Linked DNA regions of Alligator mississippiensis. The protein of the gene in region 1 purifies or fractionates together with the protein of each later gene. This does not show direct contact. Links are inferred from orthologs where the notes say so. Each region holds a gene or a part of one and is shown in the gene's direction. Other genes may lie near its edges.

Region 1 (7,091 bases):
GCGTCATTAATATACTAGGGGCCAAGGGCTGTATTATGCAGTTTAAGATTGAAGCAAAAAATAAATATAACTTCATTGGAATGAGTTAAAAACAAGCTTCAGGGCTGTGAAATAGGAGCTGCATTCCCAGGAACAGCTAACAGACCCCAGAATTGCAGAACGAAGGATCTCCTCAAGAGCATTAAAAAGAAGAGAGGGTCACTGACACCTGTGGGGTGCAGAGTTTAGAAGGGATCAGGTAGGTTATAATGAGCCATGAGATGTTCTGGTTGCTTGCCGCAGCTTTTATTTCTAAGGGCATCACTGCTCTGATCAGCCACATGAGACCAAGTCAGCGTTCTGGCCGAGTGGAGCAGTGATTCCCTTTTGAAGTAAAAGCCACAGCAAGCAAAGCTCTTCCTTAATTTGGTAACCCACTGCCACCCCTAAATGAAAAATCCAGGATCCACTGTATAATTTAGCTTCCCTCCCCCAACCGGCACCCTACCTCTACCTTATGATGGAGATGGGAGGTGGCATTCTGAATAGTCGTAATTCTCTTCTGTAGGGTTCTGCCACGTGTCTAGAGGTTTGTCCCTCTTCTTGATAGGAGTATCTATGCCTTTGAGCTCCTATCTGCATATGAGTCAAGAATCAGATTTGCTGAACCTCTTTAAATCACAGCGTTCAGTGGATATGGGCTACCTCAGTGTAAAACCACTTGGGCTGAAAAATGTGAATGGAAACAAGCCCAGTTAGGAGATCCAGTACGGGCTTTTAAACTTGATTCTAGACTATAATCCCCATACACATGGGCTAGACCAGTGGCTCTCAGCCTTTTCAGAGATTTTGCCCTCCTCCACTTCTTTAGATGTGGCCACACTTCCAGTAAGACTGCCTGCATGCCTGTGCACAGCCAGCCCAGGAAGGGCTGTGGCATGTGCCCATGTTCCCACTGCATTATGTTTCTCTGATAACCCTGACACAGACAGAGCTAGCTCAGGCTCTAGCCCAGTGGTCTCCAACCTTTTAAGTAGATCACCCATTGGCCATGTGTAGGGGGTGCATGTGGGTGCGCGTGCACCCCTGGAGCGTGGCAGTGTCCCCCCTGTAAAAAGGCACCACTGACATTGTCAGCGCCTGCGGGTGGTCCGCAATTGCTGCTGGCCGACACTGCCGGTGGTGTCTGCGGGTGGTCGTCGACTAATAGCGCTCGCTGTGCCCCCGCCCCCCTGCCCAGCTGCTGACAGTGCTACGGCTGCCTGCGGCAGCTCCCCACTTACCTTCACCACGTTCCTGCTGCTGGCAGTGTTGTCGCCGCCTGCGGGAGCTCACTGTGCCTCCCAGCCTCCGGGGCCACACGTCGTTCATGAGATAAATGTAAGGTACTCCACCTGGGAAGGAGGAACCCCCAGCACACCTATAGGGTGGGGAGTGTCCTTCTCAGCAGCTGGGAGGCAGAGAGGGATCTTGGAGTCATAATTGACTCCAAGATGAACATGAGCCGGCAGTGTAACAGGGCCATCGACAAGGCCAATCGCACCTTGTTGTGCATTAGCAGGTGCATGACTAATAGAACAAAGGAGGTGATGCTCCCCCTCTATGCGGCACTGGTCAGGCCGCAGTTGGAGTACTGTGTCCAGTTTTGGGTGCCGCACTTCGAGAGGGACACGGAGAATCTGGAGAGGGTCGAGAGGAGGGCCACTCGCATGATTAGTGGCCTTTGTGATAGACCCTACGGGGGGAGATCAAGAGAGCTGAATCTCTTCAGCCTTCACAAGAGACGGCTGAGGGGAGATCTTGTGGCCACCTATAAATTTATTAGGGGAGGTCAGCGGGGAATAGGGGAAGCGCTGTTTACTAAGGCACCCCAGGGAGTGACTAGGAGTAATGGGTGTAAACTAGTTGAGAGTGGATTTAGGTTAGGTATTAGGAAGAAATTTTTCACAGTAAGGGTGGCCAGGATCTGGAATGGGCTTCCAAGAGCAGTGGTGCTGTCACCTAGCTTGGAGGTCTTCAAGAGGAGGCTAGATAGTCACCTGGCTGGGGTCATCTGACCTCGGCCCTCTTTCCTGCCAGGGGCCGGGGGCTGGACACGATGATCCATTGTGGTCCCTTCTGACTCTACAATCTATGAATCTATGAATCACCTTTGACATTTAAAAGCAAGCCAAGATCTACTGTGCACCATTATCAACCCCTCCCCCCCCCCCCAACGCCCATAGCAGGTAAATCTGTGGGGAGGGAAGGGGGGTGCAGATCGAGGCAGAGGGAGAAAAAATGATTTGGTGGCACACCTCCCCAGCAGGTAAGTCCCACCCGGCCGGGGCCCCATTCAACTTACCCCTGCTTTTGCCTCTGTGGCACTGTCCGTCACTGGGGGCCACGATCTAGCCCCCGCCCCTTCACTCCCCCAGGGACTGACCTGCTGGTCTGGGGCACGCAGGCACTCAGCCCCCGACCCTAGCCTCGGATCGACTCCAAGAGGCTCCGACTTCTACTGGTGGATCGAGATCCACTGGTTGGTGACCACTGCTCTAGCCCTTCCTGGTCTGCCTCCCCCTTGCTCCTCCTGGAAATAGGCAGGGCTGAACTGTGGGAAGGAGCATGAGGGGGGCCGGACCAGGAGGGGCTACAGCCCAATCCAGCTTTGTCTGCTGTATCAGAGAGGCCTAATATTACTTGGCCGCCTAAATTGTAGCACCCCAAAGGGGGTCCTTGTGGCACCCTAGATATGAACCACTGAGCAAGTTAAAAAATGTTTAAAGCATGTTAGATAAGACTTGCTTTAAACCAGTTCAGCTAATGTAGTTTGAGTCCTGCTGAGCTTATGTTGGCAATTAAAACATTGCTTAAAGGCCAGGCCCTACTGTAATCTCATTTACTCTAGTGAAGTAAGTGGCGTTTTGCTAAATTTACATCGGTAGACCAGAAACAGAATTTGCCCTCTGGTTGGTAGTGATTAAGGTTGGCTTTTTATCTACTTTGTAATTCAGTTCAAGAAGTGTCTTGTCCTAAAACTCAGAACCCCTCTCTATGCTGAAATCTTGAGAGAGGCAGTCTTGAAGACTGAATTGTAGTATCCACTATCTTAGGTTTATTTTTACATGGAAAAAATTCAGACCCTTACCTTTTTGTCAGTGGAGCTGCAGTGCTGGATACTGCATTACTATAATTAGGCTTCAGGCATTTTTACCAAGATGTCAGTTCAGAACGGCCATAAGCATTAATACTTGCTGTCGCTTTCTCTCTCTGTCTCGCAAAAGAATTTGCTGCTCTCCGTATTAAAAAGGGCTTTGGTAATATGCATTAGAAATTTAAAAAAAGATAGCATTAGGAGACCCAAAGACCCTAAATTTGACCATAATTATTAGCTTGTCTTATGCTAAGAATAATATCAAATGTATTTAATTCACAGTTCAGTTGCAGCGACTTTCTCTCTATTCCTTCATCCAAATATAATTCTTTCTGGACTGTAGCAGAAGGAAAATTGTCTTCTTTTTAAAATATGTGTAGCTTTTATATGAGAAGAGTATAGAAGGAGGGAAAGGTCACTCTGTAAGGCCCAAATTCTGCTCCAGTACGTTCAGTAAATCAGTGTGAATACGTATATTTATACTGGTGTAAAGTTGGAATAACTAAGAGCAGAATGTGTCTCTAATGTTTGTTATACTGTAACAAGTCGGATACTGTACAAAATAAAGATGTAGCAGGAATCATTAGCTCAGTCCGTGCCTGTGAGGTTTTTTCCCGCCGCATCCTGCCCTTCCTCCCGCCCCCCTTTGTGTGTTTCTTAATATTCAGTTTAACATATGGGAGTGGTTTTCACTTCATTAGTGATTCTTATAGGCTGAAGTGCCTTGTGGGTTGGGTCTCACTTCATCTTGCCTTTAGGGAGCCAGCCTGAATACTTGAACTGAAGCACTTAGGAAGACACAGCTTTTGTCTGTGCAGATTTCCTCTGTGGTTATTTTTTTCATAGTAACACAGTCCTGGATAATCACTTCATAGGAGAGGAGATTTTTCATTTAAACGGCACCATGAGGCACCTACGTGCACAGGGGCATAAGGTTAGTAAAGAAAGACTGGAAGTTTTTCACTTCTTGCCATACGTCATTTTGTTTCGCTGTGTTTTTCAAGCTAACATGGAGCAGCTGATTAAAAAAAACTGTTTAAGATCATTGTGTTCTGTCTGTTTGGGGAGAGGCAGTTAATTTTAAGCCCTTTTCAGAAGAGAAAAAAAAAGGGAACTTAAGCATCTGGCATTGCTTTTCAAATGAATGTGTTGCTTGAACGTTGTATTTTTTGGCTGTTTGGAGGCTGGATGCCAAGTTCATTGCTCTTACAAAGGTACTACATTTACTTGTAAGCCTCACAGCCCATTCTCAAAATTACTTTGTAGTCTTTAGGTATCCAGGTTGTAGCCGTATTGGCCTAGAGGAAAAAGCAATCAGGGCTCATAGTAGAGACAATATCTTTTCTTAGACCACAAGATTTTTGCAAAAAAAAAAAAAAATTCTTTAATTGCAAGCTTTGGTCACATTTGTCTTGTTCCTGAAAGCTTACAATTAAAGATTTTTTATTTTTTTTTGCAAAAATCGTGTTGGTCTAATAAAAGATACCATCTCTACTACAGGCCCTGATTGTTTTCTAATCTTTAACACTTCAAATACCTTGCCGAGCACACCGAAAAGAAATGGCTACTTAGCATTTTGGATGTCTGAAAATTTGTAAACTCTTGGTAGTTTCTCACTAGTCTGTTGTGAATGTCAGTAGCTTCTGTCTGTTTTCTGTGCGCTGAAGGATGTGCGCGCTGCATGTTGGCTGGCATACTTTACAACCAGGAGCAGTGAAAGAGTCAGGGGAGCCTTCTTTCTTTTGACAACTGCCACCTCGGAGCATTCAGTCACTTGGGAATTCTCCGCGTGCCTTTGAAGAACCGGTTCTGCTGGAGGAAGCACAGAAGGATTGCTCAGAATGAGAGGTTTCTTTACCTGGTTGTACTGCTTTCCTTTTGCTCGCTGTGAGCTTAAAGCACTCTCTTCTCAAAATTGAAGTCTGAGCTTTGAAGGCATTGAATGCTAAATTATGAGGCATAAATACTGGTCAAATTCAGGCCTGATACAAGCGAATTCATTTCCACTGAGTTTAAGGGAGTTGCACCTTTTTCTCTGCAGGCTGATTTTTTTTTCCGGCTTACTGTATATGACAAGCATACATGTATTATGCATTAGCATCTACATAGTGTTTTAACTGTGCCTGTACAATCCCGCTGAAGCAATAAGGGTGAAATGCCTACAACGGTGGGGAGAGTTATGTCCTTTCTATGGCACTATAATCTGGTAAAACAGATAGCCCTGCCCCCTCCCTATTAAGCTAACCCAGATGTTAGTTTTGAGGAATACAAATAACAGTGGAGCCTATTAGCATAAACCAAATCCATTTGCCAGTGATATTTATTTTTAATGAGCTACTTGTATAAGAGGGAAAGCACTTATTCTCCAAGGTTTGGAAACTTGATGGGATGAGATTTTCACAGCTCCCTAAGGAAGTTAGGCATCCAACCTCCATGAAGTTTGTCTTCCCAGCAAAGCTAACCCTGGTAATTAGTGCAGAGGTCTGAACACCCAAGTTAGCCAAGGCCACCTGCAAGCATTCCCCCAGCCAAGTCCTTCCTGCACAGCTGAGTTTTCCTATTTCCGTACTGGTCTGTGTGTATCTGGGGACAAATCCCAGTGTTCGCTGCTCTAGGCATCCTTCCCCCTATCAGTTGCTTCACGTGTCTGTTCTTTGGGGTGCTTGTGGGAAAGGGTATAAAGGGTATTGGTGGACTGTTAGCACTTAAATGATTTTGTTTGTATTATTGTAGCAAAATAGATAGCTTCCAGCTCATGCTAAAGCAGAAACTTCTCTAACCCACACCTCTTCTTGGAAAGGCAAGCTCAGACTCAAAACAGTTTCCAGATTTGGATCACAGGTTTTCTAATGTGGACAGATAGGGGGTTAGAAGAAAAACCCTGTAAGAGGCTTAACTGTGTAGTGAGGACATACCCTAAGAGTCCAAGATAGATATACAATTCACCAGAAAAGACTTGATTCCAAACCTGCTGAATCTAGCAATAGCTAGACATTAATATAAACCTAAGGAAGAACAGCATTTTTTTTTAAATGGGGTAGGGCTCTTTAAGTTCTTCTCATGCCATTTAAAAATTAGGTGTTATTCCTTTAAGAATCTGATATCTGATTTAAACAAGATCCATATTTTAAAAGCCCGTGTTTCAGGACCATTGGAAATCTGTAATATGTCTCTGCTAATGTTGCTAGAAAAAATGTAGGTAAATTGAGTTTTACTGTGCCAGAAGCTCCAGAAATGAGCTTCTCCCATTTAAGTTACCACCTGTGCTGTAAGAAGTTGAGTTAAATCTGTTGCATCCTTAGAGATGGAGCCAGCAATTTGTTGTGATCACAATTCTGATCTTTTAGGATCTGCTAAGAATGTTTCTGTCTATAAAATACTGTTGTAGCAACTCTGCGTTACTCATTTCTCATGAAACGATTCATTCTTTCGTGTAGCAGAATAGATCATATGACAAAACTGTAAAATGTTGCTAGCTCTCAGTTAAAAAAAATCAAAGGAACATATACGTCACTGATTTTATGAAGGTTTTGATTCTTTGAGTGTGTTCACATTATGGAAAATAACCCAGTGTATCACAGTGGCTTTGCTTTCCCCAACCAGTGTTTTTATACATAATTTCACAGGCAAACTGTGCAACCAGGTACAGTTTTGTATCTTCCTTGTTGTAAGCTGAAGACACATTTTTTTTCTTCCTACAGATGTTGGTCTGATTGCTGGTTGGCGTGAATTTAGTTAGCAGTCTTGGTAGAAACTTGGAAGCATGAATTAGCAATGTGTTGGTATTGCCACAGATTTTTTTATCTTGGATTTTATTTAAAGCAGTTTTTAATACTCATGCAAGTTTCTTCAGTGCATCTTCCCTAAAAGAAGAGTTGAGTTGGATTCTAGAAGACACCTCTTTCCAAACGAATCCCCAAAACATTGCAACAGGCTTGACACGTTATGTTGTTAAAGTTCTCTTATGTCACTCCTC
Region 2 (7,139 bases), on another chromosome or scaffold:
TATTGTAGCTGTAAGAGCGGTTTGTAGTATGAGATGTGGTGCAGCCAGAACCATGCCATTATTCATCTTCTCCCACTGCCCCATTTTCTGCCTCCTGCCCTTCCCATGCCTACAGGCCTACTGCCACATCCCGAGCCGATGCTGGGCAATCCTAGTATGCAGAGACTTGTTCCTAAAACACAGAACACATCAAACAACTGGCGTGTTTCTTTGATGACCATGTGAAACAGCAGTGACAAAGTTAAAATAATCCTTTACAAAAAATGTTTCCTCGGTTCAATGATTTCATAGATTTTATAGACATTTGAGCTGGAAGGGACCCCGGAGGATCATCGAGTCCAGCCCCCTGACCCATGGGCTGGAAGTCAGCAGGGATCATAGGATCCCAGCAAGATAAGCATCCAAATGTGTCTTGAAGGCGCTATGTTCTTAAAAGTAAGACTTCAATTCCCCCTATTTATGCAACTTACACACTATTTGCATTCGTTCACCACCAACAACAGTGAAATTTGACTTCTCGGTTTTGTTTTCTCTTTAATAACTATATGTCAGTTGTTGCCAAATCTCACCACAATCCCTGTTTCCTGAAAGCCCCAGTTCAGAAGTCGTGTGTGAATGCTTCAGATCTCTGCTTTCCTCTTAAAAAAAGAAGTTTCTAGGCCTCATGGTTGCAGAGAACAGCATGGAAATGTGACCCAGACGTATCTTAAAGGTACCAAACCTAGAAAGCAAATACAAATAAGCTCAAGGTTATTATTATTATTATTATTATTGTCATTTTAATTACTATTTTTAGACCGATTTCATGATCTCTTTAAACCTGACTCATGATGTAACATTTGGGACCAGCAGTACTGCTTTCCATGTATCTGACACCTGTCTGAGGTCCTGCAAGCACTTTCAGATCACTTTCATAGATCCATAGATGTTAGGGGCTGGAAGGGACCTCAAGGGAGGTCCAGCCCCCCTGCACTTGGCCAGGAAAGACCGCTGGGGTCAGATGGTGCACATCAAGTCATTTTTTAAAGATCTCCAGGATAGGTGATTGTACCACCTCTGGGGGGAAATAAGCAATCTCCAGATGAGGAAACTGAGGCACAGAAAAGTGAAGTAACTTTGCACCGAGTTCACTCACACAGGTGGTAGGATCAGAGCCCAAATGTCCTGATTGCTGGGCTGTTGCCTTTATTGAGGTGTTCATGTGTAACCTGAGCACTGGTAACAACTGTAGGGAAAGCCGATTAAGTCAGGCCTTCTTAAATTTGTACACAGTTGTTTCCTAGACAGCTTATCTTGGCGACATGCTCCCTTCTCTCCCTGATTACATGGGCATCCTCTGCTCCCATCCGCAGTCATGTAACATTGCTATAGCAACTATAGAAAATGTTTACTCAAAAAAGTTGTATTAGGCAAGTGTTTATGTCCCTTTCCCCTGCTTTCTCTGTTGTTTGGGACCTTGGTCCTCCTCTGTCCTGAGCATGCAGCTCAACCAACCCATCCTCTCCTCCTCCTGCTCTTCTGCACTTACTGCCTGGCTTCCTAACTCCACTTTCCCCTGATCCCCGTGTGACGACTGGGTTGTCTGGTCGCACTGGTTGTTCTGGTCCGTAAAGGTGCTGTCCTTGCCTTTCACCCTCTTCTGTCACTAAAGCGTCTATACTAACTCACTCTCGTTATTTCCATTGGGTTTGACAGCTCATTCTTTGCATCGGGAAGACTGAGAGCTTGTGTCACAAAAGGTGCGTCTGTGTCACCAGAAGGCGTGTGCATGTTTCCATTGGGTTGTGAGACGGACACAAATCGCAGTGTGTGCACTTTTCCCCAAAGCCTAAAACACATTCGTGGTACTATGGAGCGCGAGGCAGGTTCATGTATGTACATAGCACCACCGGATGGAGACTTTCACAAAGCATGTGTGTGTCACACCAAGCTGTGACTCATGTCTTTGTCACCCCAAGGCATGAAGTTCATCCACATCATCACAAGGCGTGCACCAGGCACCATGAGGCATGTTCAATCCATCACAGAGTCAGGGTGTCACCACGAGGTGAGCCATGTTTGTGTCACCAGAAGGCAGGCACACGTTGTAAGAAAGGGTGAAAGGGGTATGTTATAAGGCATACAACTGACTTCCCAAAGGTGTCAAACACATCTGTATCCGCACAAAGCGGGAGGCAAAGTCATGCCAGGAAGCACATACATGTCTCCAGAAAGGATGAGATGGCCATGCATAAGACTGGAAATAATTTCTTGGACCATCAAGTCCTGTCCCCAGTCCAGCCCCTCATACACGTCACAGCCACAAAGCACCTTAGGAAAACCAGGCCTGAATTACTGCAAAATGTGGGTGCCACCAATGTCCTGCCACTGGGAGACGTGATGACACTTTTAGCACACACCTATGCTTATGCATGTCATCCCAAGGCATAACGCGCATCTGTCTCACTGCAAGGTGCGAGGTGGGATCAGGTCACTGCAAGGCTTGCGTGTGCCGTCCCGGGTTGCAAGATGGGTTCGTGTTTCAAAGCACGTGTCACAAGCTGTGAATTAACGACATGTCACAATGTGTGTGTATTGCCAGCACAAGGCATTAGGCTGCCCATAAGATGTGTACCTGCCATCATCAGGAGAAAAGCATGTCACTGTGAGGTGTAAGGCAGGATCATACCCAAAGGCAGGCAGATGTCAGTATGAGGTGCAAGTTAGGTATACGTCATAAGCGTGTTCTCATGAAGTGTGACGTGGGTACATGCAACATGTAAGCAAAAGTTCAGTACGCATCACAGGATATATGCATGTCAGTACAAGGGGTACAAGTTGCAAGGTGTGTGTGTGTGTGTGTGTGTGCCTTTCACAAGATGAGTACATGACGAGGCATGTGCATGCTACCAGGGTGTTCCCTGTCACAAGAAATGCATGTGCTCCCAAGAAAGTGAGGGCGCACATATCAAAAGGCAGATGTGTATCACCAGGCCGTGAGAGACTGGTACATTATTGCAAAATGTGTGTGTCACCAGTGTAAGAATGGCATGTACAACAAGGCCTGTGTCTCGGGTACATGTCGCAAGGTGTGTGCGTGTCCCCGCGCAGTGCGAGACAGGTATACGTAGCAAAGCATGCATGTGTCATGGGTACATGTTACTGGGGAGGTGCGTGTCCCCACACGGTGTGAGAAAGATGCACTGGAGAAGGCGTGCGTATCATAAGTGTGTCGCACAGCAGGTGCGTGTCAGCATGCGGTGTGAAGCCGGTACACACAAGGCGTGTGCACGTCACCACACGTTATGAGGCAGGTACACGTGACAAGGTGTGTGCATGTCACCACAAGGTGAGGCAGGTACTCTGGTGTGTATCATAGGTACAGGTGGCAAGGTGTTTGCATGTCAACATGCGGTGTGAGATAGGTACACACAGCAAGGCACGGTGCACGTTATCACGTGGCGCAAGGCAGGTATACGTGATAAGACATGTACGTCACCACACAGCGTGAGGCAGGTGTACATGACAAGGCGTGTGCTCGTCACCATAAGACATGAAGCAGGTATGCACGACATGACATGTATGCATCATGTGGTGCGGGGCAGGTACGCATGACAAGGCGTGTACATGTCACCACACACCGTGAGGCAGGTACGCACAAGGCATGTACATGTCACCACGTGCGTACATCGCCACATGGCACGAGGCAGGTACACATGTGCTCATCACATGGCGTGAGGTGGGTACATGACACGTGTGCACATCACACAGTGTGACACAGGCACATGACACAACCTGTACATGCCACCACACGGTGTGAGACAGGCACACATGACACAGCGTGTACATGCCACCACACAGTGCGGGGCAGGCACACATGACAAGGCGTGTACATGCCACCACATGGCGCGAGGAGGGGGGGTCACATGACAAGGCGAGCTGACGTCACCACCCAGCGCGGGGCGCGTTCTGTAGCGGTGCAGCGCCAGGCCCCGCCCCTAACACCGCCCCGCGACCGTTGCCGAGGCGAGCACGCCCCCATTCCCGTCGTGCCCCGCGCGGGGCTGGCACTGACGTGGCCGCGGCGAGCCGCCATCTTGTGAGCCCGGGCGGAGAGCGGCCGAGACGCGCAGGACCGGCCCCGAGCCACCTCCGACCCGCCGCCGCCGCTGCCGGGTGAGCCGTGCCGTGCCGTGCCGTGTCCTTCCCCCCCGCCCTATCTTCCCCTCCTCCCCCTGCCCCGGAGCCCGCGGGCCGGCGCGGGGGCGGCCTGTGCGGGTGCAGGCCCGGGGTGGGGGAGGGGCGCTGCGGGGAATGGGCTGTGCCGCCCCCCCCCCCCACTCTCCCGGGGAAGGGGGAAACAGCGCTTCCTTCCCCCGCTTGGAGGGAGCCGTGGGGGGTGGGGCAGCGCCCTGCTGCCCCCCCACCCGCCCTTGCACCCGCTTGTGCAACTTCTTGTGCAACCCTCCCCTCCCCCCCCAAAGACATGGGTGACGGCCCAAAGGCACCCCGCTGCGCTCCCCTTGGTGGCTTCCCGTCATTATCCCCGTTTCACAGAGGGGAAGACTGAGGGGTAGTCAGGGAAGCAGCCACCCAAGGTCACTTTTAACAGTCTGCGGATCCTGAGGGTTTCCTGCCCTCCGCTTCCTATTTCCCCCGGCGGGGGGCACGCTCTCGACTGAGGGGTTTATTCGAGGGCTGTCCAGTGCCGCGCGTTTCTCCAGCCGGGGTGCTTCCCTCGCGGTTGCAGCGGTCGCGCCCGGCGGGACGAGCGCCGATAACGTACCTGGCTACCGCCCCAGGAGACGGCAACCTCGATTGTGCGTTGGCCGAGTTTCCTGCCTAGGGACAGCTCAAATGGATGTGGTTTTCCCCCCCTGGGACTCGGTGTGGTGAAATAGAAGAGGTGGGGGATAGGTTTGTGTTTAAAATCCGTCGCTTGGCTCGTTTCTGCTCCGTTTTTTGAGTCTCGACGCACGTCTTCAGTTCGCAGCGTCCGTGCCAGCGATGCCTGCTTAATGGATCGTGCCTCGTTTGCTTACGCCGGGCACGTTCGCTGCCTCTCCTCGCAAAATTAAAGGGCTTTCGGAGGGCTGCGGAAGTAGCCTGGCGAAGGCGTGCGCTGGGGAGACGGGATGGACGCGCAAGCTGAATCTTTACTGTGCCTTATATCTCCTGGTGCAAATTCCCTGCGGTAGGCAGTTGTGTTGAGGGTGCAAATGGGATGTTCAATACCCCTCCTGTGCTTTAATTGCATAGCGGAAGAAGGAAATAAATCAGCTGGTTGGTTGAAGTCAGGAAAGATTGTTTCCTTCTACATACCATCTCCTAACTTCTCAAACGTGTCCAGCGTGGACGCAAAGCATTATTGAGCTGTGACCTTTCCAGGGTAAAGAGAGACTTTATTCTTCTCTTAATGATGTATTTTATTAACTGTAGACCAATATCTACGTTATTTCCGGTAAATCTGATCACCGTATTGTAAGTCCATCAATGGAGAGAGAAAGTCTACTTTTCAAAATCTGTTGAAGGCCTTGTTATGGTTTAAAACCTGTAAAGGTATCAGTATCTGCAACCATCACGCTCTCCCTTAACTGATGAGCAAAGACGTTCAGGACCAGCTTCCTACTACAACAGCTGTGTTTTTGCATTATTCAGCAGTTTTTTTCTTGCCACGTGCAAGTATCTAATTTTATTTCTTGCTTCTAATACATAAAAATAGTGAGGGAATAAGGCATCACTTCTGCTGATTTCTCAAATCTAATATAGTTCTCATTCATGTGCCAATCTTTATCTGAACAGAAGCTGCTGGTGTTTTGGCTTTTGAATTTGGTGACATGTCAGCCACCACTTGCTTCCACTTATTTTCTGTTCACCTAATGTATTTATTACCATATTTGTTTGCGAATTGACACCAATGCGTTGTTTGAACTCATGTCATGAATGGTATGAGGAGCAAGTACTGCAGTTTTCAAGCATGCAAGTAGTTTGTTATTGCAAGCCAAGGCATGCGTTCTGCTTGAGTGGAAGCGAACCCGTTTTATTGTTGGGCCAACTGCAGTGTTTTTGACCTGGGCTGCACCTGTTGAATGGCAACTTAAACTACAATCAAAACGCCTGAGAGGGGCATTGACTGCCAGCCTTTAAATTGGTGATTCTCAGCCAGGGTGCTGTGGGGTACCATGCAATGTTAGCACTGTTAAGTGTGCAGACACAATTCACAGATTCATCCCAGAGACTTCAAGTAGTGTTACAAGCATTCTGGCCTGTTGTGGTCTTTCAGAGTTCTTTACAACAGAAGAATTACTATTTTTTTTCTGTAGTCAAAAAAATAAGTGAAAACTAAGAGCTGGCATTTTCTGAGGAGTGCCTTAGATTCCAAAAGGTTGAGAACCACTGTTCTAAATCAGTCTTCATCTTTTGGGCAATGGGGAGTGTCCAGCACACAGAGGAAACCCTGAATGTGTGGTTCTATGACATGTCCTTCCCCCAGTGCTGTTGGTTCTACGACATTACACCATGTGCGTGCGCGTGCACATCCCCCTAACTTTCCTGATCCTTTTTTTTCCCCCCTAAACTTATCAGTTGATAAAAAAAAAAAAAAAAAATCTAGGCTGCCAACAGTTCGAAGGTGAGTTAGTGAACTACCAAAGGCTGGTAGTTAAAAATCGTTTGGTAAAATTGTGTGTTTCAGGATTTTACTCTTAAAACAGAATTTTATCATTGCTTCTCTTGTCTTAAAATGAAGTTGGAAATAAGAACCTAGTTGGATGTAGGGTTTTCTAATAAAATTTGCAGAGGTTTTCTTGGTTTGTCATCATATGTGCTAGAGCAGTTTTGTGCCCCAAACCATAGGAATGATTTAACTCTTTGGCTTGCTAATCTGCCACAGCACAGATCCAGCCTGTGACATGGTGTTATCAAGCCTATGGGGCTCACAGATTCATAGACGTTTAGGGCTGGAAGGGACCTCATGACATCATTGGGTCCAGCCCCCTGCTCTGGGCAGGAAAGCCTGATGGGGTCAAATAGCCCCGCCAGGGCATATGTCCAGTCTCCTTTTGAAGATCTCCAGGGTAGGTGTCTGCACTACCACTGCTGGGAGTCTATTCTGGAGTCTGGTCACATGAACTGTGAAGAAGTTTTTCCTTGTATCCAGT

Evidence for each region.
Region 2: the proteins of PLD1 (region 1) and ARF1 purify together in Homo sapiens (affinity purification with western blotting; 3 studies listed by BioGRID, with this or other methods). This does not show direct contact. The link is inferred for Alligator mississippiensis from reciprocal best matches to the Homo sapiens genes PLD1 and ARF1.

What each region holds. Positions count from the first base shown.
Region 1 is NC_081830.1:75,709,638-75,716,728, reverse strand, and holds the start of PLD1 (phospholipase D1), read left to right. Parts: upstream 1-3,870; 5' UTR 3,871-4,049; intron 4,050-7,091. UniProt on the Homo sapiens protein: Function as phospholipase selective for phosphatidylcholine. Implicated as a critical step in numerous cellular pathways, including signal transduction, membrane trafficking, and the regulation of mitosis.
Region 2 is NC_081828.1:214,222,328-214,229,466, reverse strand, and holds the start of ARF1 (ADP-ribosylation factor 1), read left to right. Parts: upstream 1-4,045; 5' UTR 4,046-4,155; intron 4,156-7,139. UniProt on the Homo sapiens protein: Small GTPase involved in protein trafficking between different compartments. Modulates vesicle budding and uncoating within the Golgi complex. In its GTP-bound form, triggers the recruitment of coatomer proteins to the Golgi membrane.